4 linked regions of the Saccharomyces cerevisiae S288C genome follow. The protein of the gene in region 1 interacts with the protein of each later gene in a biochemical or structural test. Each region holds a gene or a part of one and is shown in the gene's direction. Other genes may lie near its edges.

Evidence for each region.
Region 2: the proteins of SGT2 (region 1) and BOS1 form a complex in vitro, tested with the Saccharomyces cerevisiae proteins (4 studies listed by BioGRID).
Region 3: of the proteins of SGT2 (region 1) and MCA1, one has a biochemical effect on the other in vitro, tested with the Saccharomyces cerevisiae proteins (one study listed by BioGRID).
Region 4: the proteins of SGT2 (region 1) and HSP104 form a complex in vitro, tested with the Saccharomyces cerevisiae proteins (one study listed by BioGRID).

What each region holds. Positions count from the first base shown.
Region 1 is NC_001147.6:338,408-341,728, reverse strand, and holds SGT2 (Sgt2p), read left to right. Parts: upstream 1-1,750; coding exon 1,751-2,791; downstream 2,792-3,321. Other genes in the region: SLG1 (Slg1p), read left to right, coding at 1-451; ribosome biogenesis protein TSR3, read left to right, coding at 3,108-3,321. UniProt on the Saccharomyces cerevisiae protein: Co-chaperone that binds to the molecular chaperone Hsp70 (SSA1 and SSA2). Regulates Hsp70 ATPase activity. Required for recovery from heat shock.
Region 2 is NC_001144.5:285,181-288,311, reverse strand, and holds BOS1 (Bos1p), read left to right. Parts: upstream 1-1,752; coding exon 1,753-1,755; intron 1,756-1,844; coding exon 1,845-2,576; downstream 2,577-3,131. Other genes in the region: EMP46 (Emp46p), read right to left, coding at 1-396; cyclin-dependent protein serine/threonine kinase inhibiting protein SIC1, read right to left, coding at 638-1,492; FMP25 (Fmp25p), read right to left, coding at 2,689-3,131.
Region 3 is NC_001147.6:715,316-718,922, forward strand, and holds MCA1 (Ca(2+)-dependent cysteine protease MCA1), read left to right. Parts: upstream 1-1,770; coding exon 1,771-3,069; downstream 3,070-3,607. Other genes in the region: SLK19 (Slk19p), read left to right, coding at 1-16; LIP5 (lipoate synthase), read right to left, coding at 278-1,522; BFR1 (Bfr1p), read right to left, coding at 3,338-3,607. UniProt on the Saccharomyces cerevisiae protein: Cysteine protease that cleaves specifically after arginine or lysine residues. Mediates cell death (apoptosis) triggered by oxygen stress, salt stress or chronological aging.
Region 4 is NC_001144.5:86,848-91,867, forward strand, and holds HSP104 (chaperone ATPase HSP104), read left to right. Parts: upstream 1-1,775; coding exon 1,776-4,502; downstream 4,503-5,020. Other genes in the region: Fe-binding Fe/S cluster assembly protein ISA1, read left to right, coding at 556-1,308. UniProt on the Saccharomyces cerevisiae protein: Required, in concert with Hsp40 (YDJ1) and Hsp70 (SSA1) and small Hsps (HSP26), for the dissociation, resolubilization and refolding of aggregates of damaged proteins after heat or other environmental stresses.

The sequences.
Region 1 (3,321 bases):
CACCATCACGGCAAGTGCACAGAATTCAGGATCGGCCACAGGTACAGCTGGATCTGACTCTACGAGTGGAAGTAAAACTCATAAAAAGAAAGCCAATGTAGGGGCAATTGTAGGCGGCGTTGTAGGTGGTGTAGTGGGAGCCGTAGCCATTGCTCTTTGTATCTTGTTGATTGTCAGACACATTAATATGAAGCGGGAACAAGACAGGATGGAAAAGGAATACCAAGAGGCGATAAAACCAGTTGAGTACCCTGATAAACTATACGCCTCTTCATTTTCATCTAATCACGGGCCCTCTTCAGGTAGCTTCGAGGAGGAGCACACCAAAGGGCAAACTGATATTAACCCTTTCGACGACTCAAGGAGAATAAGTAACGGAACATTCATAAATGGCGGACCAGGAGGGAAAAACAACGTTTTAACAGTGGTCAATCCAGACGAAGCTGATTGAAGAAACCCAAAAAAAATTATTATATTCTTAAACTATTGCCAAGCAAGTCTTGTTCCTTCCCATTAATTTTTTCTTTTTCCGATTTCATTTTGCCAAATCATCTCCATTTTCACATTATGATGATCCTCTAAAAATTCATACATTTCGAATTTGAGAGCTGGAGAGCTGGAAGTAACGAGGAACATTAAATAGGAACAACAAAATTAGATTAGTTATTTTTTTTTCTACTCATTAATTTTTTTATGATATATTTGAATACCAACCTTAACTTAGTTACATAGATTTAACAAACATTAAACATGTTAATTCTTTGAAATGAATACCACCTAATAAAACTATACATTTTCAAAATAACAAATTGTTATGAAACTAATAGCTAATTATCTTCTAGTGACAATAACCACTTTACTAGAAATTATTAAAAAAATACCGCGTTGAAAGACGATATAAAGTAGGAGATTAATAAATTTATATTCATATTTTCTTCAATCTAATGAAATTGAAGCGCAAGGATTGATTATGTGATAGGATGCGTGAGTAGTAATGCATGAAAAAGGAGGAAGACGTGATTATAATATATGATGTAAAATTTTGATTCCATTTTGCGGATTCCTGTATCCTCGAGGAAAGACCTCTGGCATATTATATAGGGATATTATTCCTTTACAAAAAATGGAATGAAAGAATCAAAACAAAATTGTCATGTTTGCACAATTGCGTATACCATTGCATATAATTATGTCGAAAATCATCAATATGTATGGGAATGATCATTCCATTTTTTTCACACTGGCATAATAATTTGAATATAATAATAATGGATGATGGGCATTATTGGGAAATAAAACTATGAAATTTGCTTTTAGTACGTGTATCGATAAATATCTCTAATTTTCTCAAGATCTGTTCCTCGTGGCCCAATGGTCACGGCGTCTGGCTACGAACCAGAAGATTCCAGGTTCAAGTCCTGGCGGGGAAGATTTTTTTTAACATTGAATAGAAATTACAAAGGTCTTTTATGCTATTTTAAAGGGCTATAGGCGGCATAATATTTGCTTTTAACCTTATTGTCATGACATTCTAATCACAACACTTAGCCCTTCTTTTGTATTTTTCCAAACTTTTTCAAGTCTTAAAATTTTCCCAATCGAAAAAAATGGAAGATCCGAGAAGGTTTTATTGCCCTACGCTTAATCCCAAATTTTGCCACCATATAAAATGAGTACGAGCGATATAATCGGACAACTGAATAGAAGCTTCTGACCAAGTGATATCTTATTAATACAAATCTACTGTACGATGTCAGCATCAAAAGAAGAAATTGCTGCCCTTATTGTAAACTACTTTTCTTCCATTGTGGAAAAGAAAGAAATTTCAGAAGATGGCGCCGATTCTTTAAATGTTGCTATGGACTGTATCTCTGAAGCCTTTGGCTTTGAAAGAGAAGCTGTTTCAGGCATTTTAGGCAAGTCTGAATTCAAGGGTCAACATCTTGCTGATATATTAAATTCTGCGTCAAGAGTTCCAGAATCGAATAAGAAAGACGATGCTGAGAATGTCGAGATTAATATTCCAGAAGATGATGCGGAAACTAAAGCCAAAGCTGAGGACTTGAAAATGCAAGGTAATAAAGCAATGGCCAACAAGGATTACGAACTGGCAATCAATAAATATACTGAAGCCATTAAAGTTTTACCAACGAATGCTATTTATTACGCCAATAGAGCGGCTGCTCATTCATCCCTGAAAGAATATGATCAAGCGGTCAAAGACGCTGAATCTGCAATTTCTATTGACCCATCTTATTTCAGAGGCTACTCTAGATTGGGTTTTGCTAAATATGCGCAAGGTAAACCCGAAGAAGCCCTTGAAGCATACAAAAAGGTTCTTGATATAGAGGGCGATAATGCAACAGAAGCTATGAAAAGGGATTATGAAAGTGCCAAGAAGAAGGTTGAGCAATCTTTGAATCTGGAGAAAACCGTTCCAGAACAGTCAAGGGATGCTGATGTCGATGCAAGTCAGGGTGCTAGTGCGGGTGGATTGCCAGATCTTGGTTCTTTATTAGGAGGTGGTCTTGGAGGTTTAATGAACAACCCACAATTGATGCAGGCTGCGCAAAAAATGATGAGCAATCCAGGTGCAATGCAGAATATTCAAAAAATGATGCAAGATCCAAGTATCAGACAGATGGCTGAAGGCTTTGCTTCAGGCGGAGGAACTCCAAATTTGTCTGACTTGATGAATAACCCAGCACTCAGAAACATGGCAGGCAATCTTTTTGGTGGAGCAGGTGCCCAATCTACAGATGAAACACCAGACAATGAGAACAAGCAATAGTGGACTGAAATAAGCCTTTAATGCAATACATGTTATGTAGATACAAATATAGCTCTATCTAGGATGAGTGTTACCAGGAATTTTATTTTTACTTTGAGATCACTTGCGAAATACTTAAATAGGGACTGTAGTTTACTTTTTCTTTTTTTCAGGTAAATTCGTCGATTTTCGGAGAAGACTAGAAAATATAATGTGATGAGAAACTACATAAAAAAATTTTTACTAGTAAATGTCTATTTGAAATACTTTATCGAAAAGCTTTTTATGTAAATCTGTATAGAACTTCTCGCGTAAGACAGTTGAGTAAGCAGTAACAATGGGAAAAGGTAAAAATAAGATGCACGAACCCAAAAATGGAAGACCACAGAGAGGCGCTAATGGGCACAGTTCCAGGCAAAACCATAGGCGCATGGAAATGAAGTACGATAATTCAGAAAAAATGAAGTTTCCTGTTAAACTGGCTATGTGGGATTTTGATCATTGCGATCCAAAGAGATGCAGTGGTAAAAAACTTGAAAGGTTGGGCTTAA
Region 2 (3,131 bases), on another chromosome or scaffold:
CCCCTTTGTGCTGCCTCTGAACCCGAAACTTCTAAACGTCCACTCTATTGTCATTGCATCCTTTATTGAATATTCAGGTTTCAACCAAAGTGAACCCTTTGTGTTCTTTCCAGGAGTTAAAACAAACCTCCCTTCTTCAAGTTTTACTTTGTCACCCAAAGTCCATTGTGAAAGTTCTTTTTGCTGATCTGTCACTTCTAGCAAATTTGGTAGCGAGTATCCTTTATTCCATTTCAATTCATCCTTCTGCGTCACTTTTCCGTGTACCATCCACACACACATATATAACCATATCAGTCCATTAATGAAATTCATCTTCTTTTGCTTAGTTCCAGCTTTTGTTCCTGTGATTTTCCCTAAAAGCTGAAGAGAGGAAGCTGTCTTTCTTGTAGTCATCCTCCCCTAACTCGCTTTGACGAAATACTACAATGAAATATGCTATTATTCTGAAGACAGAAAACCAGAATAAAAGAATACGGTAAGGAAAAGTTAAAAATCCTGTTAATGTTGTAATATAGAATATCCTGTATATATTATAATATGTAAAATGTTGATGTTAATGCCCCTTTGCAAATAAATGTAGAATAAGTAAGTAAATAAAATATAATCGTTCCAGAAACTTTTTTTTTTCATTTCTTCAATGCTCTTGATCCCTAGATTGAAACAATGCCTTTGGCTTGAATCTTCTCTTTTCTTCATCCGTTAACCTTCGTTTCTCTACCACCTCTCCCTTCTTATTGACATATGTTATTACGTCTTCTATATCTGGGTTTTCTCTCAACATTGCCCTTTTACGTTCATTTCTAATTTCCTGAGTGACCAGTTCATCTGATGCAAAGGGATTTTTACCCACCCGCACTGGATTGATGATGATGTCTTCCTCGTCTTCACTTTCTTGACTCCTGGCGTCATTTTTCGGAGAGTTGTTGTTCCAATTTTTTGCCAATTCAAATGTTATCACCTTGTCGCTGGGCGTACCAGGTACATCTTTAATAATCTTCTTTCTATGTGTCTGATCAAACTCATCTCTTTCAAGTGATAAATGTAACTGCCTGGCAGATGTAGGTCTGCTGGGGGGAAGAAGAACTTCTCCTTCTTCTTCTTCTTCTGCTGCATCTATATCCACATTTTGCTGCGTGGGAAACAATATCCTATTTACACGACCCAATGGTTCCTGCTCTTCCCTTACTGTTCCATTATCATGACTTTCAAATTGGAATAGTGTCCTCTTCACTGAAGATTTTGGAAACGGCGAGCGTTGAGGAGACGTAAGCCCATTAAATGGAGAGGTCATACCCATGTTCGAATTGGGAGGTGCTAATAATGGCGCATTTTTAAAAGACTTAGTTGTTGAGGGAGTGACAGGGACTAGGTTCTGTGAAGGCTTTTGGGGGGTCTTTTGACCTTGCATTAGGGCACTAGAACTAGTATTGCCACTAGGCTGCGCAAGGTACCTAGTCCCTCTGGACCTTGGTGGGGTGGAAGGAGTCATTTTCGTGTAATAGTCCCTGCTTCAAGGGTCAAAATTCCGTAGAGGTTTGGTTGATTGATTTACAAAGACAATACCTTATCCTTTGGATATGCCTTCTCTCTTTTTATAAATATCAAAAGTTGCGACGCGAACAACAAGCCAGCCATTGAAATTTTCAGTGTGCTGGCTATAATAGACAGGATCGACGCTGTCGATGGAGAAGGAAACACGGCAATAGTGCAGATATTATCGTGACTTAATCATATTGATTTGAGGGGGGAATGGTATGTTTGATCGCCGGAGGCATCTTTTCTCATTATTGCTAAAACAAGATGTAATACTAACAGGGTATTTTGCTACTACCATCAAATAGAACGCTCTTTACAACCATGCTGTGAAGCAAAAAAATCAACTACAACAAGAGTTGGCCAGGTTTGAAAAGAATTCTGTGACCGCCCCTATTTCTTTACAAGGGTCCATCTCTGCAACTCTGGTCTCACTGGAGAAAACAGTTAAGCAATATGCAGAACATTTAAACAGATATAAAGAAGATACTAATGCAGAGGAAATTGATCCTAAGTTCGCTAATCGACTAGCAACTTTAACACAGGATCTGCACGACTTTACTGCCAAGTTTAAGGATTTAAAACAATCCTACAACGAAAATAATTCCAGAACTCAGTTGTTTGGCTCAGGAGCATCGCATGTTATGGACTCCGATAACCCCTTTAGTACATCAGAGACCATCATGAATAAAAGGAACGTTGGTGGTGCGAGTGCAAATGGTAAAGAGGGCTCTAGCAACGGTGGGGGACTACCGTTGTACCAAGGGCTACAAAAGGAACAGTCTGTTTTCGAAAGGGGTAACGCTCAATTAGATTACATTCTAGAAATGGGCCAACAATCATTCGAAAATATAGTGGAACAAAACAAAATTTTATCCAAGGTACAAGATAGAATGTCAAATGGCCTAAGAACATTGGGTGTTTCGGAACAAACTATCACCTCTATCAATAAACGGGTGTTCAAAGATAAACTAGTCTTTTGGATCGCGTTAATTCTCTTGATCATAGGTATTTATTATGTGTTGAAATGGTTAAGATAGAAGTAACCGTGAGTTCTATATATAAATAAACATACCATATATACATGCATCATTATAAGGGTTGAAAAAACATCGCGAATCTCGCTACTTTCCTTCTATGCTCTTTCGTTTCTCAAACCCGCCAGTATAAGCAACTTTTATTACCATTGGTGACTACACGTTGCTCCTTTTTTAAGTGTAATTTACTGTTATAAATTGAGTCCAAATCTGTCGTGTCTTGTCCTGGTTTGAGAACTTCGGGAATGTTCATTGGCTTAGCGCATTTCATAGTTTTCTTTCCAATACCTAGTTGGCCATGGTCGTTATTACCCCATGCAATGACCTCGTTTTCTTGTTCAGTTTCAGTGAACACACAATGAGAGCCGCAACTCCAGTTGGTCAATTTCTTGTCATCCGACTTGATTTTTATGGGATCACATTGCGAGTTCTTGAAAGTGTTGTTGCCCAATTCACCAAAAAGTCCATTACCAAACGCGAAATAATGATGGTCTGACGTTGAGCCAGGCTTACGAATGGTCACAAACGATGTTTCATCATCACAATGAATATCCACAC
Region 3 (3,607 bases), 380 kb from region 1:
AAATGAAAAAAAATAAACGCATTTTTTTCTTTTGCATTTTATCTTTTCCCTTAATATGTCATGAGAATAAAATATTAAGGATATACCGTAAATATACAAATTCGTATCGAATATTTGATATTGTTTCCTAACTTTTCTGTGTTAAAAATAAATATGCAAAAACATACTAACCATAAAAATAAATAAAATACAAGATATAAATAAATAATCCAGCAAGCAAAGACATTGCGGTCCATGCCATAATTGTTTTCTTCCAACTATTAGATTTCAGTGTGCATTATTTCATGTTTCTTTTCTTCAAAACGTTCTCAATAAATGCTTCACCAGCCTTATATGACGATCTTACTAGGGGTCCAGATGCACAATACAAGAATCCCATCTCTAAAGCTCTCTCTTTCCAGTAGTCAAACTTTTCGGGTTTCACATATTCTACGACTTTCATATGTCTCTTGGTTGGCCTCATATATTGACCAAATGTAACAACATCACATTGAATATTGCGCAAATCCTTCAAAGTTTGAGTAATTTGCTCATCAGTTTCTCCTAGACCCAGCATTATTGATGTTTTAGTAATCAGTGACGGAACCGTAGCTTTTGCCCTTTCTAAAACACTCAAAGACTGTCTATAAGTAGCTCTTCTGTCTCTGACATGTGGTGTTAGTGATTCAACTGTTTCCAAATTATGTGCGTAAACATCAAGCCCACATTGTGCCATAATGTCCACCATCTTCAAATCACCTCTGAAATCACCAGAAAGAGTCTCTACAAGAGTATTTGGTGCCTTCTGTTTGATTTTGCGAACCGTCTCGGCCAGGTGATTAGCACCACCATCGACTAAATCGTCCCTATCAACGGTAGTTAAAACAACATAACCCAACCCCCATCTTTTGATAGCTTCGGCAGTATTTTCGGGCTCCATTGGGTCCGGCTTACTAGGCGTTCTATTGGTCTTCACAGAACAAAACCTACATCCACGAGTGCAAGTATCACCAAGCAGCATAATTGTTGCCGTTGCCTTAGATTTATCTTTGCCTCCCCAACATTCACCAATATTGGGACATCTTGCCTCCTCACAAACAGTACTCAGGCCTAATTCTTTTACGTCGCCTTTCAATTTATGGTAATTGGTACCCTTAGGAATAGGAACCTTAAGCCAACGAGGTAGTTTTTTAGCTTCCTCTGTATTTTGCCTTGCCTTCTCCAGAGGGTCCAAGATCATTTTCGAAGCTTTACCTGAAACAAAATCTGCAAAAGATGGACCCAAATTAAGAGCATCTTTGAACTCTGTAATTCTTTTTCTGTTCCCCTTGCGTCTTTTTCCCGAAGTCCCTGTTAACTGACTGGTTGCATTTTCAACCTCAGTTGAATTTCCAACTGGTACCCTAACGCTAGCGTTATCTGAATCAGTATTCAATGCATTGGATCTTATTGGCCGAGTTGCGCTCGTTCCACACCTAATAGTGGACGAAATCCATCTTGTATTTCTCCCAACAAATAGTACTCCAACAGATCGTCTATACATTATTGTGGCTTAACAGTTCTCCTTAAAATCCACATAACTGACAAAACTGGATACTTAATGCCCATCGAGTCATATACATATATTTGATTACTACAAGTGCTTTTCAAATAACTGCTTCGAGAAAAGCGTCCGGGTAATAACAACTATTGAAAAAGCATGGCTTCGCATTAATAGGAGCCAAAAATATGAAGATGAGCCTCGAAGTTTATCTAAACTACCACCAAAGAAGACCGACTAGATTTACAATCATGTATCCAGGTAGTGGACGTTACACCTACAACAACGCTGGTGGTAATAATGGCTACCAACGGCCCATGGCTCCTCCACCTAACCAGCAGTATGGACAGCAATATGGTCAGCAATATGAACAGCAGTATGGACAGCAATATGGGCAACAAAATGATCAGCAATTCAGTCAGCAATATGCTCCACCACCAGGTCCTCCCCCTATGGCTTATAACAGGCCTGTGTATCCCCCCCCTCAATTCCAGCAGGAACAGGCAAAGGCACAATTAAGCAACGGCTACAACAATCCTAATGTAAACGCATCCAATATGTACGGTCCACCCCAGAATATGTCATTACCTCCACCTCAAACACAAACTATTCAAGGTACAGACCAACCTTATCAGTATTCTCAATGTACTGGGCGTAGAAAGGCTTTGATTATCGGTATAAACTACATAGGTTCAAAAAATCAACTGCGTGGTTGTATCAATGATGCTCATAACATCTTCAACTTTTTGACTAATGGGTACGGTTACAGTTCAGATGACATTGTCATATTAACTGATGATCAGAACGATTTGGTCAGGGTTCCCACTAGGGCTAATATGATTAGGGCCATGCAATGGTTGGTCAAGGATGCGCAACCCAATGATTCTTTGTTCCTTCATTATTCTGGACATGGTGGCCAAACTGAAGATTTGGATGGGGACGAAGAAGATGGGATGGATGATGTTATATATCCGGTCGATTTCGAAACTCAAGGGCCAATTATCGACGATGAAATGCACGATATAATGGTGAAGCCCTTACAACAAGGTGTTAGACTAACAGCATTGTTTGACTCTTGTCATTCGGGTACAGTGTTGGATCTTCCATATACCTATTCTACTAAGGGTATTATTAAGGAGCCCAATATTTGGAAGGATGTTGGCCAAGATGGCCTGCAAGCAGCTATTTCATATGCCACAGGAAACAGGGCTGCTTTGATTGGTTCTTTAGGTTCTATATTCAAGACCGTTAAGGGAGGTATGGGCAATAATGTGGATAGAGAACGCGTGAGACAGATCAAATTCTCAGCAGCAGATGTTGTTATGTTATCAGGTTCGAAGGATAATCAAACTTCTGCAGATGCTGTCGAAGATGGGCAAAATACAGGTGCAATGTCCCACGCCTTCATCAAGGTTATGACTTTACAACCACAGCAATCATATTTATCTCTTTTACAGAACATGAGGAAAGAATTGGCTGGTAAGTATTCTCAAAAACCACAATTATCATCGTCACACCCTATTGACGTAAATCTGCAATTTATTATGTAGAAATATATGAATGTGTACGTTGGTAGATGTATTCAGACTGGTGTAGTATGTGATTCAATTTTTATTTTTTTAGAAAGCAGAAACAATCTAAGCTATTAATACTATATACATATAGGCAAAGATATATAGGGAATAGGCATTTTGGAAAATAAGACCATGTGTTTTTTTAACGTAGTGAATACTAAGTACAGAAAAAAACATCACCTCAACCAAAGAAAAATTAAGTAATGAAGAAAGATCAGGAGAAAAATTTTTTTCTACTTCAGGTTTAATTTTCTTTATCTTTTTCAGACTCTTCCTGTTCTTTCAATCTTTTTTCTTCCAATTCCTTTTTTACTTGTTGCTCTTTGTTAGAGTAGTCCAAATTTAATTTCTCAATTTCCTTTTCGACAGATTCAATGTTTTGTTTTGTTTGCTCTTCTTGTTTCGACAAAAGCTCTTCATGCTTCTTCTTCAATTGCTCAACGGTGATCTTGACATCATCACTGTTGATTGGGACAGTTACGTCTAATTCGGCCAAAGTAGCAATTAGTGTTGG
Region 4 (5,020 bases), on another chromosome or scaffold:
TTTTTTCCCATTTTTTTCCTCCAAGACTCCTCTTATGTGGTTGTTATGTATAGCCCATAGTTACTAAATAAAACACTAATTAATGATTAATAATCCCTCTCTAATAAGAAATAGATAAAAGCTATTGTTCTTCTCATCGCCGGTTCTCGGCGTTGTCCGTACCCTTGGCCGAAACTCGGGCGGGGGCTTATTAGTCATACCCTCAGATTTCATTGGTCAGATAACAGTCACCCGGTAAATGCCCGTTTAATGACTTCTTTATTTTGGATTAAAATTGACAGGGAATTTCAACGGAATAAAGGAAAGAGATTGAGATGCTTTTAATTCATAAAGGAAAGGGAAAGAGGACAGGAAAGCAAGGAAGAGTAATGGAATTTTGCAAATATTTGTAAATCCTTTAGAATTACTAAGAAACTGTTATTTATTGACATTATTTTACTCGTCTTATTTATTTATTTATACATTTGGCCACCATTTTTGCACTCGTACGAAAGACCATTTTAGATTTTTTTGATTTGGTAGTATAACAAACGATCGGAACAATAACGTAACATAATGATAAACACAGGAAGAAGCAGGAATTCAGTACTGCTGGCACACAGATTCCTTTCAACTGGAGGATTTTGGCGAGGCGGTACGAATGGCACAATGTCTCGCACAATCAACAACGTAAATCCTTTCAAATTAAAATTCATACCGAAGACAGTGCCCGCAGCTGCAGACTCTGTCTCTCCAGATAGTCAACGTCCAGGTAAGAAGCCCTTCAAATTCATAGTTTCCAATCAGAGCAAGAGTAGCAAGGCTTCTAAAAGCCCGAAGTGGTCGAGCTACGCATTCCCTTCGCGTGAGACCATCAAATCTCATGAGGAGGCCATCAAGAAGCAGAATAAAGCTATAGACGAGCAAATAGCTGCTGCAGTATCCAAGAATGACTGCTCTTGCACAGAACCTCCCAAGAAAAGAAAGAGGAAATTGAGACCAAGAAAGGCGCTGATCACCCTGAGTCCGAAGGCAATCAAGCATTTAAGGGCACTGCTAGCTCAGCCGGAACCTAAATTGATTAGAGTTAGCGCTAGAAACCGTGGATGTTCAGGACTAACGTACGATCTACAATATATCACCGAGCCGGGGAAATTCGATGAGGTAGTAGAACAAGATGGCGTTAAAATTGTCATCGATTCAAAGGCGTTATTCAGCATCATTGGAAGTGAAATGGACTGGATCGACGACAAGTTGGCCTCTAAGTTTGTCTTCAAGAATCCAAACTCCAAGGGCACATGCGGTTGTGGCGAGAGTTTCATGGTTTAAAAACCTTCTGCACCATTTTTAGAAAAAAAGAATCTACCTATTCACTTATTTATTCATTTACTTATTTATTTACATATTTATCATACATATTAACATTGAACCCTCCATCGTGGTAGTGTTTGCTGTTCCTAACTTTTCTTTCGTTGTTCTTGTAGATATATATTTTTCCAGAATTTTCTAGAAGGGTTATTAATTACAATCTTAAACGTTCCATAAGGGGCCGCGATTTTTTTGTTCAATTTTCAACAGGGGGCCCATCTCAAAGAACTGCAAATTATATCACAGTAAAAGGCAAAGGGGCGCAAACTTATGCAACCTGCCAGATTATTATATAAGGCATTGTAATCTTGCCTCAATTCCTTCATAATTCGTTCCTTTGTCACTTGTTCCTTTTTACCCTTGAATCGAATCAGCAATAACAAAGAAAAAAGAAATCAACTACACGTACCATAAAATATACAGAATATATGAACGACCAAACGCAATTTACAGAAAGGGCTCTAACGATTTTGACGTTGGCTCAAAAATTGGCTTCGGATCATCAACATCCACAATTACAACCTATACATATTCTAGCTGCCTTCATTGAAACGCCAGAAGATGGATCAGTCCCTTACCTACAGAATCTAATTGAGAAGGGCCGTTACGACTATGATCTTTTCAAGAAAGTGGTTAATAGAAATCTAGTAAGAATTCCTCAACAGCAACCTGCACCTGCGGAGATAACTCCAAGTTATGCTTTGGGGAAAGTCCTTCAAGACGCTGCTAAGATTCAAAAACAACAGAAGGACTCATTTATAGCGCAAGACCATATATTGTTTGCTCTATTCAATGATTCGTCTATTCAGCAAATATTTAAGGAAGCTCAAGTAGATATTGAGGCCATCAAGCAACAAGCTCTTGAACTTCGTGGTAACACTAGAATTGACTCTCGTGGCGCTGATACGAACACACCTTTGGAATATTTATCAAAGTACGCCATTGATATGACTGAGCAGGCTCGTCAAGGTAAACTTGACCCTGTCATCGGCCGTGAAGAAGAAATAAGAAGCACTATTAGAGTTTTAGCAAGAAGAATTAAGTCCAACCCATGTTTAATTGGTGAGCCAGGTATCGGTAAGACCGCTATTATTGAAGGTGTTGCTCAAAGAATCATTGACGATGACGTTCCCACTATCTTACAAGGCGCTAAATTGTTCAGTCTAGATTTGGCCGCATTAACCGCAGGTGCTAAATACAAAGGTGATTTCGAAGAAAGATTCAAAGGTGTTTTGAAGGAAATCGAAGAATCAAAGACTCTAATTGTGTTATTCATTGATGAAATTCACATGTTAATGGGTAATGGTAAGGACGACGCTGCTAACATCTTGAAGCCAGCTTTGTCCAGAGGCCAATTGAAGGTCATCGGTGCCACCACCAATAACGAATATAGATCTATTGTGGAAAAGGATGGTGCCTTTGAAAGAAGATTCCAGAAAATTGAAGTCGCTGAACCAAGTGTGAGACAAACAGTGGCCATATTGAGAGGTCTGCAACCAAAGTATGAAATACATCATGGTGTAAGGATTCTGGATAGCGCCTTAGTCACTGCTGCTCAATTAGCCAAGCGTTACTTGCCATATAGAAGATTGCCAGATTCTGCTTTGGATTTAGTTGATATTTCTTGTGCTGGTGTCGCCGTCGCAAGAGATTCTAAGCCAGAAGAATTGGATTCCAAGGAACGTCAATTGCAATTGATTCAAGTAGAGATAAAAGCTCTAGAGAGAGATGAAGATGCCGACTCCACCACTAAAGATAGATTAAAGTTAGCTAGGCAGAAGGAAGCTTCATTGCAAGAAGAATTGGAACCTCTAAGACAACGTTACAATGAAGAAAAGCATGGCCATGAAGAATTGACACAAGCTAAAAAGAAATTGGATGAACTGGAAAACAAGGCCCTTGATGCTGAACGTAGATATGATACTGCTACCGCCGCTGATTTAAGGTACTTCGCCATCCCAGATATCAAAAAGCAAATCGAAAAGCTTGAAGATCAGGTTGCTGAGGAAGAGAGACGTGCTGGTGCCAACTCCATGATCCAAAATGTGGTCGATTCAGACACCATTTCTGAAACAGCTGCAAGATTGACTGGTATCCCTGTTAAGAAGTTGTCAGAATCTGAAAATGAAAAATTGATTCATATGGAACGTGACTTATCATCTGAAGTCGTGGGCCAAATGGATGCCATTAAAGCTGTTTCCAATGCCGTTAGATTGTCTAGATCAGGTTTAGCTAATCCAAGGCAACCAGCATCCTTCTTATTTTTAGGTTTGTCCGGTTCCGGTAAAACTGAATTGGCTAAAAAAGTTGCTGGATTTTTGTTTAATGATGAGGACATGATGATCAGGGTCGATTGTTCTGAATTAAGCGAGAAGTATGCGGTCTCTAAGTTGTTGGGTACCACGGCAGGTTATGTCGGGTACGATGAAGGTGGCTTTTTAACTAACCAACTGCAATACAAACCATACTCCGTTTTGTTATTCGATGAAGTAGAAAAGGCACATCCTGATGTTTTGACTGTCATGCTACAAATGTTGGATGACGGTAGAATTACTTCTGGTCAAGGTAAGACGATCGACTGTTCCAATTGTATTGTCATCATGACTTCCAATCTAGGTGCTGAATTTATCAATTCTCAACAAGGATCAAAGATCCAAGAATCTACCAAGAATTTGGTCATGGGTGCTGTTAGGCAACATTTCAGACCAGAATTTTTGAACAGAATTTCTAGTATAGTCATTTTCAACAAGCTATCTAGAAAAGCTATTCATAAGATCGTGGATATTCGTTTGAAGGAAATTGAAGAGAGATTCGAGCAAAATGATAAACATTACAAGTTGAATTTAACTCAAGAGGCCAAGGACTTCTTGGCCAAATATGGTTATTCCGATGATATGGGTGCACGTCCACTGAACAGGTTAATTCAAAACGAAATTTTGAACAAACTGGCACTAAGGATCTTAAAGAATGAAATCAAGGATAAGGAAACTGTCAATGTCGTCTTGAAGAAGGGTAAATCTCGTGATGAAAATGTTCCTGAGGAAGCTGAAGAATGTCTGGAAGTTCTACCAAATCACGAAGCTACTATAGGGGCTGACACGTTAGGTGATGACGATAATGAGGACAGTATGGAAATTGATGATGACCTAGATTAATTTAATATAGTGTGATTTTTAAAAACTTTCGAACAAGAATCAGTAATATAATATATATAATTAATAAAACTAATGGAATTTGTTTAATTGAACTTGACACCCGAGCAAAAGAGCTCACATTTTAACGTTTAGTTCATCTTGCTGTGAATAATCTAAAAGTAAACAATGGACAAAAAAGTCCACTGGACGTCAAATCTTTTTTTATTGTATTTGGGACATATGGCGTTGATAACTAAAGTTTAAAGGAAGTAATAAGTGAAGGTTAAATCTGGACCTCTTTACTTTCATATTAGAAGTATAAAACACACGCGGATTGGTCCATTATTAGAATACGGGTACTACAATAATGGTTTTGATAGTTACTGTACATTTGAATGTAGCGACTCATATGACTCATATATATGACTACCAAATCATGTTAAAATTAGTATATCTTTAACTTAGACTTCAGTACTATCTGAACTGCACGTTTAAATTTTTACCATAGCAGTTCATGTAATATTAATAATCACTTGTGC